Linked DNA regions of Alligator mississippiensis. The protein of the gene in region 2 purifies or fractionates together with the protein of the main gene of each other region. This does not show direct contact. Links are inferred from orthologs where the notes say so. Each region holds a gene or a part of one and is shown on either strand. Other genes may lie near its edges.

The links. Proteins that work in one complex are often made in the same cells at the same time.
Region 1: the proteins of CDH5 (region 2) and CTNND1 purify together in Homo sapiens (affinity purification with western blotting; 3 studies listed by BioGRID and IntAct, counting the BioPlex papers as one, with this or other methods). This does not show direct contact. The link is inferred for Alligator mississippiensis from reciprocal best matches to the Homo sapiens genes CDH5 and CTNND1.

What each region holds. Positions count from the first base shown.
Region 1 is NC_081825.1:172,458,287-172,465,338, forward strand, and holds the start of CTNND1 (catenin delta-1), read right to left. Parts: upstream 3,048-7,052; 5' UTR 2,908-3,047; exon of another isoform or gene 2,613-2,907; 5' UTR 2,533-2,612; intron 1-2,532. UniProt on the Homo sapiens protein: Key regulator of cell-cell adhesion that associates with and regulates the cell adhesion properties of both C-, E- and N-cadherins, being critical for their surface stability.
Region 2 is NC_081833.1:63,086,177-63,093,512, reverse strand, and holds the start of CDH5 (cadherin-5), read left to right. Parts: upstream 1-4,309; 5' UTR 4,310-4,492; intron 4,493-7,336. UniProt on the Homo sapiens protein: Cadherins are calcium-dependent cell adhesion proteins. They preferentially interact with themselves in a homophilic manner in connecting cells; cadherins may thus contribute to the sorting of heterogeneous cell types.

The sequences.
Region 1 (7,052 bases), on a different chromosome or scaffold from region 2:
AGCCTTGCAGAAAGTCACAGCCCCAATTCTGTAACAAAGAGCATTAGAAGATGACACCAATCCCTCAGGACAAGAGGCACAGAAGGGGGAGGAGGGACAGATATTACCAGATGAAGGTGTTGCCAGTAAGACCTAAAGAAAAATGGCCTGACGAACCCAGGGCCCCCGGCTGTGCAGTTATTCTTTTATTGAGGGAATTTCAGCATCGCTTGTTAGTCAGGGTATCAGGAAGATTTTTTTCAGATCAGAACTGTCCCATTCGCAAGGATGAGCTCCACCCAATAGTTTTGACCCTCCCTAGACATACAATTCACTTCCCTGAAAGAACAAAGGAAGAGGAGGCAAATTAGACAGCAGGAGACAGAGTAGGAAGAGAGATAAGCTAGCCAGGGCAGAGCTAAAATTGTTAAGCCTGGTCTACGTGGAGTTCCCCCTTGCAAATGCACAAAGCCGATCCCTTCGTCCTTCCCACACAGATTAAGATCCTGAGCATCACAGAAAAAAAAAGATTTAAAGTTCAGGATACTCGGCCCTAGCCACCCCCTTCCTTGCTCAGAAGCCCCCAAAGATCTGCATAACCAAAATACTCCCTGCTCCCAACACATAAGAAACCTCCCCTACCCCCTCCTCTGACACAAAGGGAATATTATGATGAGAGAGCAGGGAAGAAAGACAGGACGCTGTCTGTAACACCAGACAACCCTTGTTCTAATGCTAAATGCCTGTCTGATGAGCTATACTCTCTCATTCCCTTGCAAGAGAGCTGCGAGGCTGGCACACAAACTTCCTTTGTTTTGGGGGCAGGAGGGAAAAGCCTCCTAGTTCATGCCTCGCTCAAAGTAGTGACACGCCAGAACCCAGTCAAATGTCTGACATGGGAGGTGAGGAACTGGGGGGGGGTTAGACAGCAATACAAAGCAAACTGAAAGGCTGAGACCCCAAGCCAAGCCTCTCAACACTGTGCTGCTCCTTTACCACAAGACACAATCCTTCTGAAACTACTTTTCAGAGTGCCTTCGATGGTCTTTCCCCACAGATGCCAAAGCATAACCCAGGACTGAAAGGGACCACTCCCAAATAGCCCTAGAAACATTTGCTTGAAGTAGGACAACGTTTTCCTTGTTCTGCTATATCCAAGACCTTGCTGGGGGGAAATGAGGCAGGTGTTTAATTATACAGAATAAGACAAGGGTCTTAAGGGGTCCAGGACCTAGTTTTCTTCACCTAGAAAAATCCCCCCCTACACACACCCCTCCAAGAATCTCTGGCTATGAAATCTAGTCATCTAAGATAAGGCATTACCATCTTAGCACAGCAAAGCGAGAAAAGAAAGCATACCATATTTCCAGAACTGTTACATTAAGCACACACTGCATTCCCTGTAATGATTCTGAATACAGAAGCACAGTCTAGTTCCCTACCCTAGCCTGCCACAATTAAACTGAAACTAGATACTTCTCTTTTTTATGGTGAAATTACAAAATTTAGAGAGGTGGGAAAAAAGACCCCATACTATCACTACCAGGGGATCCTAAACCCTAGTGTGTTGCTTTCATATAACATTCTTAGCAAAACCCAACAAGTCCAAATCACAGCACCATGCCAGACAAAACTACAAGAGCTCAAGGCAGGTTACGGGGAGTATAAGTAGATGTTCTTTTAAATGCCATCTAAATCTTACTACATTGCATTCCTACATTACTGACTCAAGCCTGTTTGCTTACCAAGCTATTTTGATGCATCCCATTTACCAAATGTATATGATCTTTTGAAAGAATTTAAAGGAAGAAAAAAAAATGTACTGTGCTTAAGTTACCACACACTTCAAAAACAGTAAAGTTTTTTTTTTTTTTGGAGGGGGGAAAGAGCGAGCAAGTCAACAAGCAAGTTGTCAATCAGAGCTTGGAATCCTTGAAGGGGCTGGTAGGGAAAAACCTCCTGCATTTATTTCACCCTCCTCTCCTCCCCCCCCAGAAAAAAAAGGAAAAAATCAAGAGGGAAGTTCTCCTTCAACATGGATTCTTTTTAGAAGGTTAAGAGAAAGGTCCCCACCCAACTATACCTGGAAGAAAAAAGGGATCCACCCATGCAGAAAGTGTGGGTCTAAAAAATGTACTGGAGAAAGCAGCTTAACCACACTCCCAGTGAGAATACTTGAAAAGAGAGACCTGACCAAGTTAAAAAAAAAACAACAAAAAAAACAAAACAAAACACAACAACAAAAAACACACCCTGAAATTCTCAGTTTTCCCAAAGTTTTAAAAGAAATATCCTACTTAGTGCAAACAAACTTGAAGCTTCCTTTTTAAACATGACTGAATTCCTTCCCCTAGGAAACATAGGGGATATCTATATATAAATATAGATATATAAATAAAATCAGCCCTCTTGCAACACCGCAGTCCAGGAGTTGTGTATTAGTTTGCATCAGATACACTCACCTCCCCAGAACAGAAATAGTTAAAAAACCAACAGCAGCCACCACCATCATTTAAAACAATAAAAGAACGAAAAGAAAGAAACTAGTCTTACCCTGGCTTTCTCCCCTCTCAAAGTTGCACCAACAAGAGTCTCCAAGTTGGTTTCTCCTCCTTGTATCTTTTTCCCCCGCTCTTCAAAGCAGCAGATTAAGAAATGGAAAGAGGGAGGGGGAGAAGTTGTCAGCCGGGTTATTCCTCTGCCTCCTCTCTTTAATATCTCAGCATGACAATATCCAACAACAACAACAAAAAAAGACCCTGGGTGGAAGCCTTCTTTTCGCCCTTTACAAACACACGCACCACAAAAAAAAGCCACACCAAAGAACTCTAAAGTCGAGTTTCCCAAGAAATCCCTAACAGGAAAACGAGAGCCCAATCCCTGATCAAATGAATTTAAAAAGAGCAAAGCGGCAATCTCTTCTTCCACCTCTCCCTTGCCTGGGATCTTCTCTTCTTTCTTTCTCTCTGGCGGTTTTTTTTTCTTTCCCCTTCTTTCAAGATCCAACACCTAAAATGGAAGTTGCACCCAGCCAAAGGCAAAGCAAGCTGGGTGGTGACAAACTAAGCTTGCCAACCCAACCCCTCTTTCCCTAAGTGATGTCAGCTTCTGCAAAGCTCCAATGGGAAGCAGGCATCAATCAGGGACCCGAAAACATCCAATAGGAAACTTTAGTCTAGGAATTAAAAAAAAAAAAAAAAAAAAAAAAAAGGGGGAAAAAATGAGGAAAAAAAACAAAAAAGGAAAGGTGGAGAGGGGCGCGCGAGAGAGTAAGAAGGGACAGAAAAATAACTTTTTTGGGTGAAGACAACTGAAAACAAAATCAGAGCAGGAAATAAAAAATAGCTGCGAGAAAAGACAAAGCAAACTTGAAAAGATAATCATTAGGGTATAGATGTGGCTCAGCTACCAGCACTCTTCATTTGTCTTTTCTTTCCCTTCTTTCACTCCTCTCTCTGTGTTGGCAAACTCAAATACATATTTGTAGTTGTTTCCTGTGCTCTCCTCCCTCCTTTGCACCCCAAAAGGAGAACGGGAATTGCAAAAAGGAGGGTTGGGAAACATGCTTATAATCAACCGATAAGAGAGGCTGAGATTTGAAATGCAACCTTGATTAGACTACATTTATCTATATGAGCCCAGATTGTGAGAGTTGCCATCAAATCTTGGTTGAGGGGTGGTTTCCTGTTTTATTTCAACCAGAGGTTTTTGCTAGCAATTAAGCACACTGATTTTTGGGTAAAGCAGATTAGGAATTTTCACTCCCTGCTTTCTCCTAAAAAACAGTGAAGAAGAGAGCTCCTTTGATTTGTATTTCTAATTCAGTACAGTTTGTATTACTGTATTGTATTGTATAATTCAATACAATTTCTATTACTAATTCAATACACTTCACAGCTTGTAAATTACATTTACAAACCACCAATTAATACAGAGAGGGAGAAAAATGCTCTAAACTTTTGCATTGTGGCTGTGAAGGATGTTTGCTTTGATTACATTTCTAAGAGTGCCAACCTGTGAGAGAACTAGTGCTATGTGATAGCACTTAGCTAAGTGTGGGAGTTGCTGGGAAGGACTCATGGCTTGAATATTTATGTGAAAATTCAGTTCTAAATAGAGGATTTTTTTATTAGGTGCTTTAGTTTTTATTTAACAATGCACATGGTGGGATGGAATATCAAAAATAGAATTATCATGGACTTCAAGTGGAGCAGGGTCAAGTCTGGATGCTGTGGTTATTGATTCAACCTGTACAGGCCTGACCCTAATATTAACATACCTACACTCTAGTTAGCACCAAGATAGCAATGAAGATTATCACTGTGTAAACAGCCACTAGGCTAAATCTATATATTAAATCAGTAGTTCCCAAAATCTGAGATTGCACACCACCAATTAAAAACAATACAACCTTTAGTACCACTAGCAAATTTTTCAGTTCAAACTTAAGTACCACCAGCAAATTTTTGTCATATAAAGTCATTATAATAAATCTGGTAACGCGTACCACTGACAGGTTGTCTGCGTACCACTGGTGGTACCTGTACCACAGATTTGGAACCGCTGTATTAAATAGTACATGGTGAAATCTCTGAGAGTAATGGATGCTCCATACCTTTAAAGATGAGGTCCTCTATCTGATTCACTGGGCAAATTCCAGATGCTCCTTACTTTCAAGGATAGCAATCCTTTTATTCTCTGGTTTAAGCCCAGGGTGCTCTTCATATTCCACTCGAGAAGCTGGGTAACTGTTGGCAGGAGGAGGGATTCTGTCACTCTAGAGCAGCATTTCTCAACCCATGGGCTGCGACCCAAAAGTGGGTCATGAGAATATATGAAAGGATTACGAACAAACTTTAAAAATGGATTCTCCTTTAAAGAAGAAAAATGTGGGAAAGCGTGGCTTTTCCCTTACAGGCTGACAGAGGTCCAGCCTGCAAGGGGCTGCTTGGGCACCCTGCCCCCCCCCCCCCCCCCCCCAAACACACACACCCTGAGAGGTTACAGTCTGGGGGTGGGGGCAGCCAGTTGGGAGTGAGGGACACTGGGTCAGGACTGGCCATCAAACGTTTACAAATGTGTCCTGGTACAAAAAAGGTTGAGAACCACTGATCTAGAGGAACTTAGACTCTAGGTACTCAAAAGTCTTCTCAGCAAGACTATGCTATCCTGTAGTGTAGGCTAAGCCCCAGTTCAGTGTGGCTCAGGCATGTAACCTGGGCCAGGCTGCTGCCAAATAAGCCCAGGCCATTTAGCATGCAATTCTTGCCTCTATGCAAGCTCAAAAAAAGATCTGCTTGGTACAACTCTGCCTATCTACTGCACTGAAAGTGCAGGGGAAACAGTGAGCGCTCCTGCATAGACTAGCCACATCCATTTTTACCTCTAGATCATGCTCACAGCGAGTCTAGATGACCCAAAGGTAAAATCACCAGTGGTCCACCTACACTCACAAACTTACTCTGTCTAACACCAGGGGAATGCCACCAGGAAAAGGAGCAATGGCAGGAGAATTACAGAAAATCCCTTTTGTAGTCAAGGCTATGTATATTGAAGACCCAAGGTCTGTAAACAAATTAAAATAATCAGCATACATATGATAAACAGAATGATGAGATAAGCATCAGTTTGTGGAGGGACATCTAATTAGGGTGCAGGGATCTCTGTTTGGCCTTGTGCTAATGATATATTTCAGGTAGATCTGGAAGGTATCAGATGTAAACAGCATGCCTATTAAATCAACAGAGGATACAAAGGACACAACACCGCTTCTATTGACTTTAAAGGCACTAAATCAAGAAGTGTTGCAAACATCGCTTTGTCACAGCAAAAAATGTAGAGATCTAGAGAGATTAGAGACATGGGCAGGAAATGACAGCATAAGGTTTAACAAACTGTCAGAAGAAACCTAATTCCAAAATTCAGTGCTGCATGAGATTAATAAAATGAGGAAGCATTAGTGCTTTCAAAGATCTAGGAATGGAAGTCAGTAGTCATTGCTGAAATTAGGCATGAGTTTGGAAGCAAAAGAGGCTGCCATGATTTGGGGCTGAGCACATTACATCAAAGGACAAAAACGTGGCAGCTTCAGCTGCAATTGTGATGTAGCTACATCTTTAATATTAGGATGATTCTTTGGTCCACAATGGCTCCTTTGAACCATTCTGGCTGCTTGTGAATTTGCCAATGATATGGAGTCTGCAGAGTGCTATCACATATATGTTCAAGCCGGCCTCAGAATCAAGAAGACACAAAGGTAACGTGAAGCCACTTTGTCCCCAGCTGTCAGGTTATTTGTCTGCATAATTACGTTCTAGATAATACATTAGCAGAAAGGTGTTGGCAAGCTGGAGGCAGTGGAAGAACGATTGGGAGAGTATGGCTGATTTATGGAGAAAGATTAAAATAAATAAATGTGCATGCCACTGCTAAGCAAGAATGAGGTAGGGGAAATAGGCTACATATATTTGAAATGGGTAATCCCCAGTAGCATTTAAGTACGCTGTTGCTTATGAAACTTTACATCAGGGTAGGTAACCCTTGGCATGGGTGGCAGAGTGTAGCACACAAAGGCATTTTGCTTGGCACGCACACCTCAGGGCGGACAGTGGGGAAGGGGCTGGGGCTGTGCTGCCACAACAAGGATTGCGCTCCTGGCAGCTGCCCCCACCATCCACCCCTAGCACACCATCTTACAAGCCGAGGTTGCTGATGTTTTTGGTGCTCTCCATTGGCATAGGGACAAAAAAAAAATTTGGGGGGGGGGGGGCTGAGCATGTGCACGCGCCCCACTGCAACAGGTAAGTCTGCGAGGGAAGGGTTGGGGGCAGGGAGTGGGGCTGGGGCAGGTGCTGCCCAACTGGGGCAGACCAGGGCACAGGACCTGGGCTGTGGCTCGTCCAGGGGCTGCAGGGAGGCAGTGGAGGGTTCCACCACTGCATGTACCCCGGGAGGGCATGGGGAGTTTGTGCCTCCAGATCTGTGTGAGGCAGGGTGGGCTGCCGCTGCGGGCTGCCCCATGCAGATCCAGGGGCACATGCCCCCATGCCTCCCAGGGTGCACGCAACGGTAGG
Region 2 (7,336 bases):
AGTGAGAAAGCCTAGACTTAAACTGGTGATTTAAGAGCCTAAAAGGTTAGGAGCTTTGCTTTCTATTTGGAGAAGAATGTTTAACTTAAAATGCCCAAGTGCATATCACGTCATCACTATCTCTTAAAGAAAAGTCCGACAGAATTCAGCGGAGAGGAAACCCAGAGTATAATATGAAAGGGTTCTATGGACATGCAAGTGGGTTATACGAGAAATATTTCTCTAATCCAGTCCATGTACCCCACAGAATTCTGAACTAATTCTCCATTAAATTGCATACAATGGTTGAAAAAGTCTATAAAGACATCAAACATTAAACTCGCTAGGACTTTTCAGAGGAGTATAATAAATTGACCTGTCAGGCCAGGCTTCTCTTGGTCTACTATCTGGTACCACGTAAACCAATACAGCCTGTTCTATGGCCAGGTTGTCGGCGACTAAACTGGCACCCCAACCTGGGCTAGTCTGGGTGAGGAGGGATGTGGACACCCAGCGAACTAAAAACAAGGCCTGTCAAAGGGCATGAGATCCCTGTGAGCCAAATGTCATCCATGCCTGGAGAGGAGATGAGCACCACCAGATCACTTTGCCCAAAGAATCACCGATGATGCAGAGCAACTCAACTAACCTCAGAGTGGAGGATGAGAGGAGACTCAGGCTGCGGCAGCAGCAATTTTATCCAGTGCTGGATGCAGCCTGTGCCCAGTGCCAGTCCCTGATGGGATAGGCAGCCTGAGCCTCCTTTCATCCGGCATGCAGATCCAAGGGCTCGGACCTCCGGGAGGAGGCTGGCACAGCCCAGCAGCCCTCCCAGGGGTGCAAGCCCCCGGATCTGCACCCCAGATGAAAGGAGGCTCAGGCTGCCTATCCCATCAGGGACTGGCACTGGGCACAGGCTGCATCCAGCACTGGATAAAATTGCTGCTGCCGCAGCCTTAGTCTCCTCTCATCCAGCACAGATCTGGGGGCTCGCACACCTGGAGTCCAGCACAGCCCTGTAGCCCTCCCAGGGCTGTGAGCCCCTGGATCTGCACCCCAGATGAGAGGAGGCTTCCCCTTCCACCTGGGACCGGTGCTGGGCAGCCTGAGTCTCTCCTCATTCAGCGTGAAGATCCGGGGGCTCGTACCCATGGGAAGAGTCTGGCACAGCCTGGCAGCCCTCCCGGGGGTGGAAGCCTCCAGATCTGCACCCCAGATGAGAGGAGGCTGCCCTGTCACCTGGGACCAGCGCTGGGTGCAGGCTGCACCCACCACCAGAGAAAATTGCTTCTGTCACTTGTCTGAGGAGGAAGGCAAACAAAGCCAGTGCTGTGCTCCATGGGGCTGGCAGAACAGATCAGAGCCCAGCAGCAGGAGGCAGGCAGAGTGGGGCTGGGCCCCGTGGGGCTGGCGGAGCCGACTGGTGCACAGCCTGGCAGTGGGAGGCGGGGAGAGCCGGCACTGCACTCTGATCAGGTCCGCCAGTTCCATGGAGCGCAGCCCAGTAGCAGGAGGTGGACAGAGCCAGTGCTGTGCTCCACCTCCCACTGCCAGGCTGAGCTCCATGGGGCTGGCAGAGCTGATCGGAGCATAGCCCAGCAGCGGGAGGTGGGCAGAGCCGGCGCTGCACTCCATTCAGCTCCGCAGCCCCACGGAACACAGTCCAGTGGTGGGAGGCGGGCAGAGCTGGGGCTGTGCTCTGTGGGGCTGGTGGAGCCAGCTGGTTCTGCCCACCTACCAGCGCCGAGCTGTACTCAATGGGGCTGGCTGAGCCGAGCAGAGCGCAACCCAGAGGTGGGAGGTGGGTAGAGCTGGCGCTGCCCTCTGGTCAGCTCCACCAGCCCCACGGAGCACAGCCCAGTGGTGGGAGGCAGAGAGAGCCAGGGCTGCGCTCCCCGCTGGGCTGAGCTACATGGGGTTGCGGAGCCGCTCGGAGCACAGCCCTGGCTCTCCCCTGCCTCCCACCACTGGGCTGCTTCGAAACTCGAAACATTTTGAAACTTGCAAAAGATTTTGAGTGCCTTCGTTTCATTTCAAAACTGTTTTGATGCTTTTTGTTTCATTTCAATTTCACTGTTTCAAGCTCAAAATGTGTCAAAACAGCTTCGAAACAAAACACTTGGCGAAATTTTGCACAGCCCTAGTTGTTACAGCATCTAAAGTGCCCCAATGATCCCAGTGGCCTCAAGACTGACTTGACAAAAAATTGGCTGATCCAAATCATGGATCTCAATGCTGCCTTTCAGACCTATTGTTCTAGTACATGCATGGGAAGAAAGACCTGGATGATCAAATCTAACTAACAACCAGGTTGTTACAATGGGACTCATTCATAGCCCATAAAGGCAAAGAAAAATCATTACACGCTTTATATCAGGCTCTAAGGTCCTTAAGTTGATAGAACAGCAATCCAACTGTATGCACTTGCAGAACTAAAGAGCACCATTGTAGAAGATGCATATATTTTTTAAATCAAGGAACATGAGCTCTCTTTTCTTTTCCCCATTCTTGGTTTAGGCTAGCTAACAAGCATGTTTTCTCCACAGATACCAAGATCAAAGGACGTCAGTAGTCAAACACACTTGAAATCATTTGCAAAAGTAAATGATATCTAGGATTGTTGTCTGCCCTGGGTACCAGCCTATCCTCCACAGATAACTACAGTTCACTGGGAACCTCCCAGCAATATCCTTTCCATTTCTCCCTCTTCTTTTTCCTCAGCAATGAAATAGGAGCGGCTTATTTTATTGCAAGGAAACTTAATTGTAATCAGTCTCCTTAAAAAAAGGTTTTGAAAAATGTCCCCTCATTAGTTGCTTAACCTTCCTGAATAATTAATGTATCAAAATTTTAAAACAGTCATTTGTCTTTGCTGCTGCATGTCATAAAAATGTGCAGTAATGTAACCAAAGCTCAGTCTTCTGGAAAGCTAGGAAATCAATCCCATTACCTGTGCTAAGTCATGATGAAGAATAGGGGTGAGAGTACTTAACTCTGGATCATTATTATTTAAAGCCTTCCGTAAGAAATGTCACCAAATGTGCAACATACATCACAATGTGGTGACAACACCTCAAAATTAGTTGGGTTTTGTTTTTTGGTTGTTTGGGGTTGTTGGGGTTTTTTTGTTTTTTGTTTTTTTGTTTGTTTGTTTGGGGGGGGGGGGGTTGACTCGTGTTTCTTAGACTTTCTCCTGAATTAGTCAATTTAAAATTTCCTCCTCCTTTAAACATACAAAATAGTGTATAGACATTCTTTGTTTTTAAGCTGCAGCAAAAGTAAAGCATGTTCTGCTGTTCAAAAGCAGGATCACAGCATTCTGCCTGAGCTGTAGGAAGGCCCATCTGCTTATCATGCTGAGCTCACTGGTCTATATCCTACCTTAAATTTCAAGAATTTCAACACTCATTGCAGTCACTGAGGCCAAAATTAAACCCTCATTGGTCTGCAATTAAACAGCAAATCAAGCTGGCTAGCATAACACAAGCTCTCCTCTTGGAACATTGATCTTTTCCCCTTTCCTCTCTCCCAAAAATTCCTCCACTTGAAAATTTCTAATACAATGAAGGCAATACATGTTATTCAGTGATTCTTCTCCTAAGATTTTTTGTTTGTGAATCTTGGGGCCCAACTCTCTACTGCCTTACATCTTGGGTCATCACTTCCACTTCTGGAATAGTCCATAAAATCTAAACAGTGTTTTGTCTACCATGCACAGGTTGGGATCATTACATAAAGTGCAAGGCAAAGAAGTTGGCACTGGGCTGGAGACTTGCAACCAATTTCTGTTCTCTGATTTGCTGAAGCCAGATCTATCAAATCTGTACAGCTGTTACCAAGACCAGCATGCGGCTCATCCCAGAATTTCAATATATCCCAGTCCTCTCACACTAGCAAAGATTGGCTCTTAAACTTTTTATAAGAACTCCTGTTTGATGGACTTTCAGCCTTTGTGGGTGGTGGAATAATCCTGGTGGAGAGACGAAAACACTCCCATCTGCCTGATGGGAAAACAAATCTGAAAATAAGCCGGAGACCATACTCTTCAAATAGTGAGAATAAAAATAAAAACAAGTGCTAAGTTAGGATTTTTAATAACCCCTAAAATGAAAATGATCAGTAAGAAAGATACTAAATAACAGCACTGGCTTTATATTACTCTTACAGGCCATTTCCTTTTATTCAGATATGTATTTGTTACACCCTCTGAAAGGCAAGTCTAGCAAAATGACTCTAAGTTTATCTTGTTTCCTCCACTCCCTTTTCTCACTGGCATTACTAAGGTTTGTAACAATAACAGGATGCAGGGATGCAGGATGGGAAAAGCTGACCCCCAGCTGGGAAACCTTGGAGACTGGAAAGCTGAACACTCCCAGTATTACCTAGTGAAATTAAATCCTGATTTTATATCTGTTCCTCACTCTCCGAGTGGTGCTCATGATTTCTGGATATTGTTCATTTCATGTTCTTAATTTGGGATAAAACTGAAGCTTCACCAACTCCTGGGGATCAGGTAAGGGACAGAGGATATTATTACTTTTAATTTCAAGAATTTTTCCTCCCAGATAGCTGACACTTTGGAACTGGCTTGAAGTTATTTGATGATTCTGAAGTTCATGTTCTGCATGTTAGATGTATTTAGAGCACCCTTGGGGCCCAGTATCGCTGGCAGAATAACTATTGACACCAATGGAGTTACTGCCAATTAACACTGAAGTGAGAGGAGAATCGGTTTCTCTACATCTGCATCTAATGGTCCCAGACTGTGAAGAATATTTAGACTCAAAGAAGTGATTCTTTTGGTTCAAAATGATCAAATTATGCTGCCAGTAGATGTTTTCAATAAAACAGAAAAACAGAAATCAATGCAACAAATTGCACTTGGGGACCCTTTAAGAAGGGATTCCAGTTGCATTACAGACAGCAATAGGCTTGATATTTTGTCATTGAACTAGAATACACGATGTTATATCTTGCTTTTTTTAGACATAAACATATTGGATGAAGGTTGCATAGGTCCTTGGCATTCTTTTTCTGTTCAAAATGAAATAGTGGAATTGTAGTACGGTTGGAGCTAAGAACCAAAGGATAGCACCTCTTATGTTCATTGGCTGCCACTAGGCAGATCTGTATGACAGGAGGTTCACTTTTAAAGACTTAGTGACATTTTCAAAAGCAGCTAAGTGACTTATGCTCCTAAGTCTTATTTTCAAAGTGAATCATGCATTTTAGGAGCCTGATCTCCACTAACTTTCAATGAAACTAAGGCACCTAATTGGTTTAGGCACTTTTGAAAATGTTACCTTGGATCATTCAAGTTGTATGACACTCATTTAACAACTAGGGGAAAAACCTCATAGATTTCTCTAGGAAACCTCTGGCTTTCAGCTGTCCAAATTTACCATGTTTTCTGGTAAGTTATTTCATGAAGAAAGCCGTGACACAAGACATCAGTTGAAAGGGTTTTTATGCTGCCATAAGCATATAATGTTTTACACAGGAGATCCCTTGACTAACAAGTTTGCAAAGACAAATGTTTATGAATAAGAGATGAATAAATGCATCTTTTTGGGTTGAAATTATAGTCCATGCGTCAGGAGATATAGTGCCTTACTGTGCTGTGTTTAATGCTGTATAAAGAAAAGGAAAAAATGAAGGCTTCAGGAAAAAGACAGAATAGGTTGAACTTTTGTGAGAAAACCTGAAGAAGTCTCAGCTATTCAAAGCATTGAAGTTGGCTGCTACTGAAGTTAACTTAAGTAGGATTATTTGATTCATTTCTGCCTCTTCTGATTATAACTGCTGATATTATAGTAGTTGTTATTTACATTTATAAAAGCACCTACCCTGTGATTCCTTGTGGGGAAAATTTAGGAAAATCTATTAACAGAAGCAACTCAAGATATATACAAAATCTTAACATGTTAATTAATACTATGAATCAAAACAACTAATACGGCAATACAAATGCTTGCTTTAAAAAGGTTTGGTATCTTTAAGGGTGGCTTTGAATCCTGAAACAAGGGGCAAACTAAAGAAGAAAAGGACATAAGGCTAGGTTTCTTCTGTTTCCGTTCCCCACAACCTACTGAGAACAGTCAAAGAGGTTGCATGCAATAAAACAAATGAACTGGAATACAAAAAATAAACTCTCAGTACTCTGATGCTAATCTGAGCTCTGTATGGAGTGCTCAGATTTATTTGGCTTTGGAAATGTAACTGCACTGCAAACTGAAATATTTTTCAGCTGATGCTTTCCATTTTATAACAATAGTACTTCAACATTATGTTAAAACCTTCATTTCAATATTTAAAATGCAAATTGAGTCACAACAGATCTATTTCATTGAATAATCTGGATATTTTGTATAGGAACAAAAGCTAGGTTCAATACCCAAGGAGAAGTAGATGCAGAGAAATTTTCATTTAAATAGTTAATAGCTTTGAAAAATATTTGCCAAAAGAACATGCCTGTCTCATATCCTGCTTTTGTTGAGAGGAATAGAGCAGCTCAAAACAGGATATAAGTACATGGATTTGTATACTTTCTATCTCAGAAGCTCATCTGGTTTATAGCCCTTACCAAGATAGACTATAAGAATATAAATTAATATTCAAAAGAGAATACTTTCCCTTTTCAAAAGAAAAAGAGAGAAAAAAATCATAGAAATACCTTTTGTTGTCAGGTTACTTATCTAAAACACTTAAAGCAAGCAGATAGTGCATTATTTTTGTGGAAGGGAAAGCCTATTAATGTTTAGTTATGACATATTTTAAAAGTGATTAATCAATATGATTACTGTAGCCATCTTTTCATCATTTTGGTTTCTAGAAATTTATTTCAGAAAGGTCCAAATTGTAATGGCAAGCAGGAAAAGAAAAAAAATCTCTCCTGCTAACTTCATGAGATATCTGTGTTAAGTGGGAATATTTCAAGCTGGGTAAAAAACATAAGATTGACAGGGTACTTTCCATTCTTCTTTCCTGGATGTTTAAAATGAGATGAGCCCTAATAGTTTATCACACAACGCATGCTGGGATGATTAGTTTTCTTCCTGCACTATTATGTGTCAGAAACTGGTTATTTGTACAAATTGGAGATTTGCCAAGCTACAGAGGGGGAAGATTTGTAAAGGCACAAAAAGACACTCAGAAACCCAATTCACATCAACTCAAAGTGGCAGTTGGGCTCTTACCTCCCACTGATGCCTTTGAAAAAGTCCCTCCAGAATCAGACTTGTATGTGAATATCAAAAACACCCTGCTTAGGTCTAGACCCCAAATTTAGTTTGGCTCACTACTAAGAGAAGAGGGTGTTTGCTCAGCGCTGCTGTACAATCAGGTTAATAACTTCTAG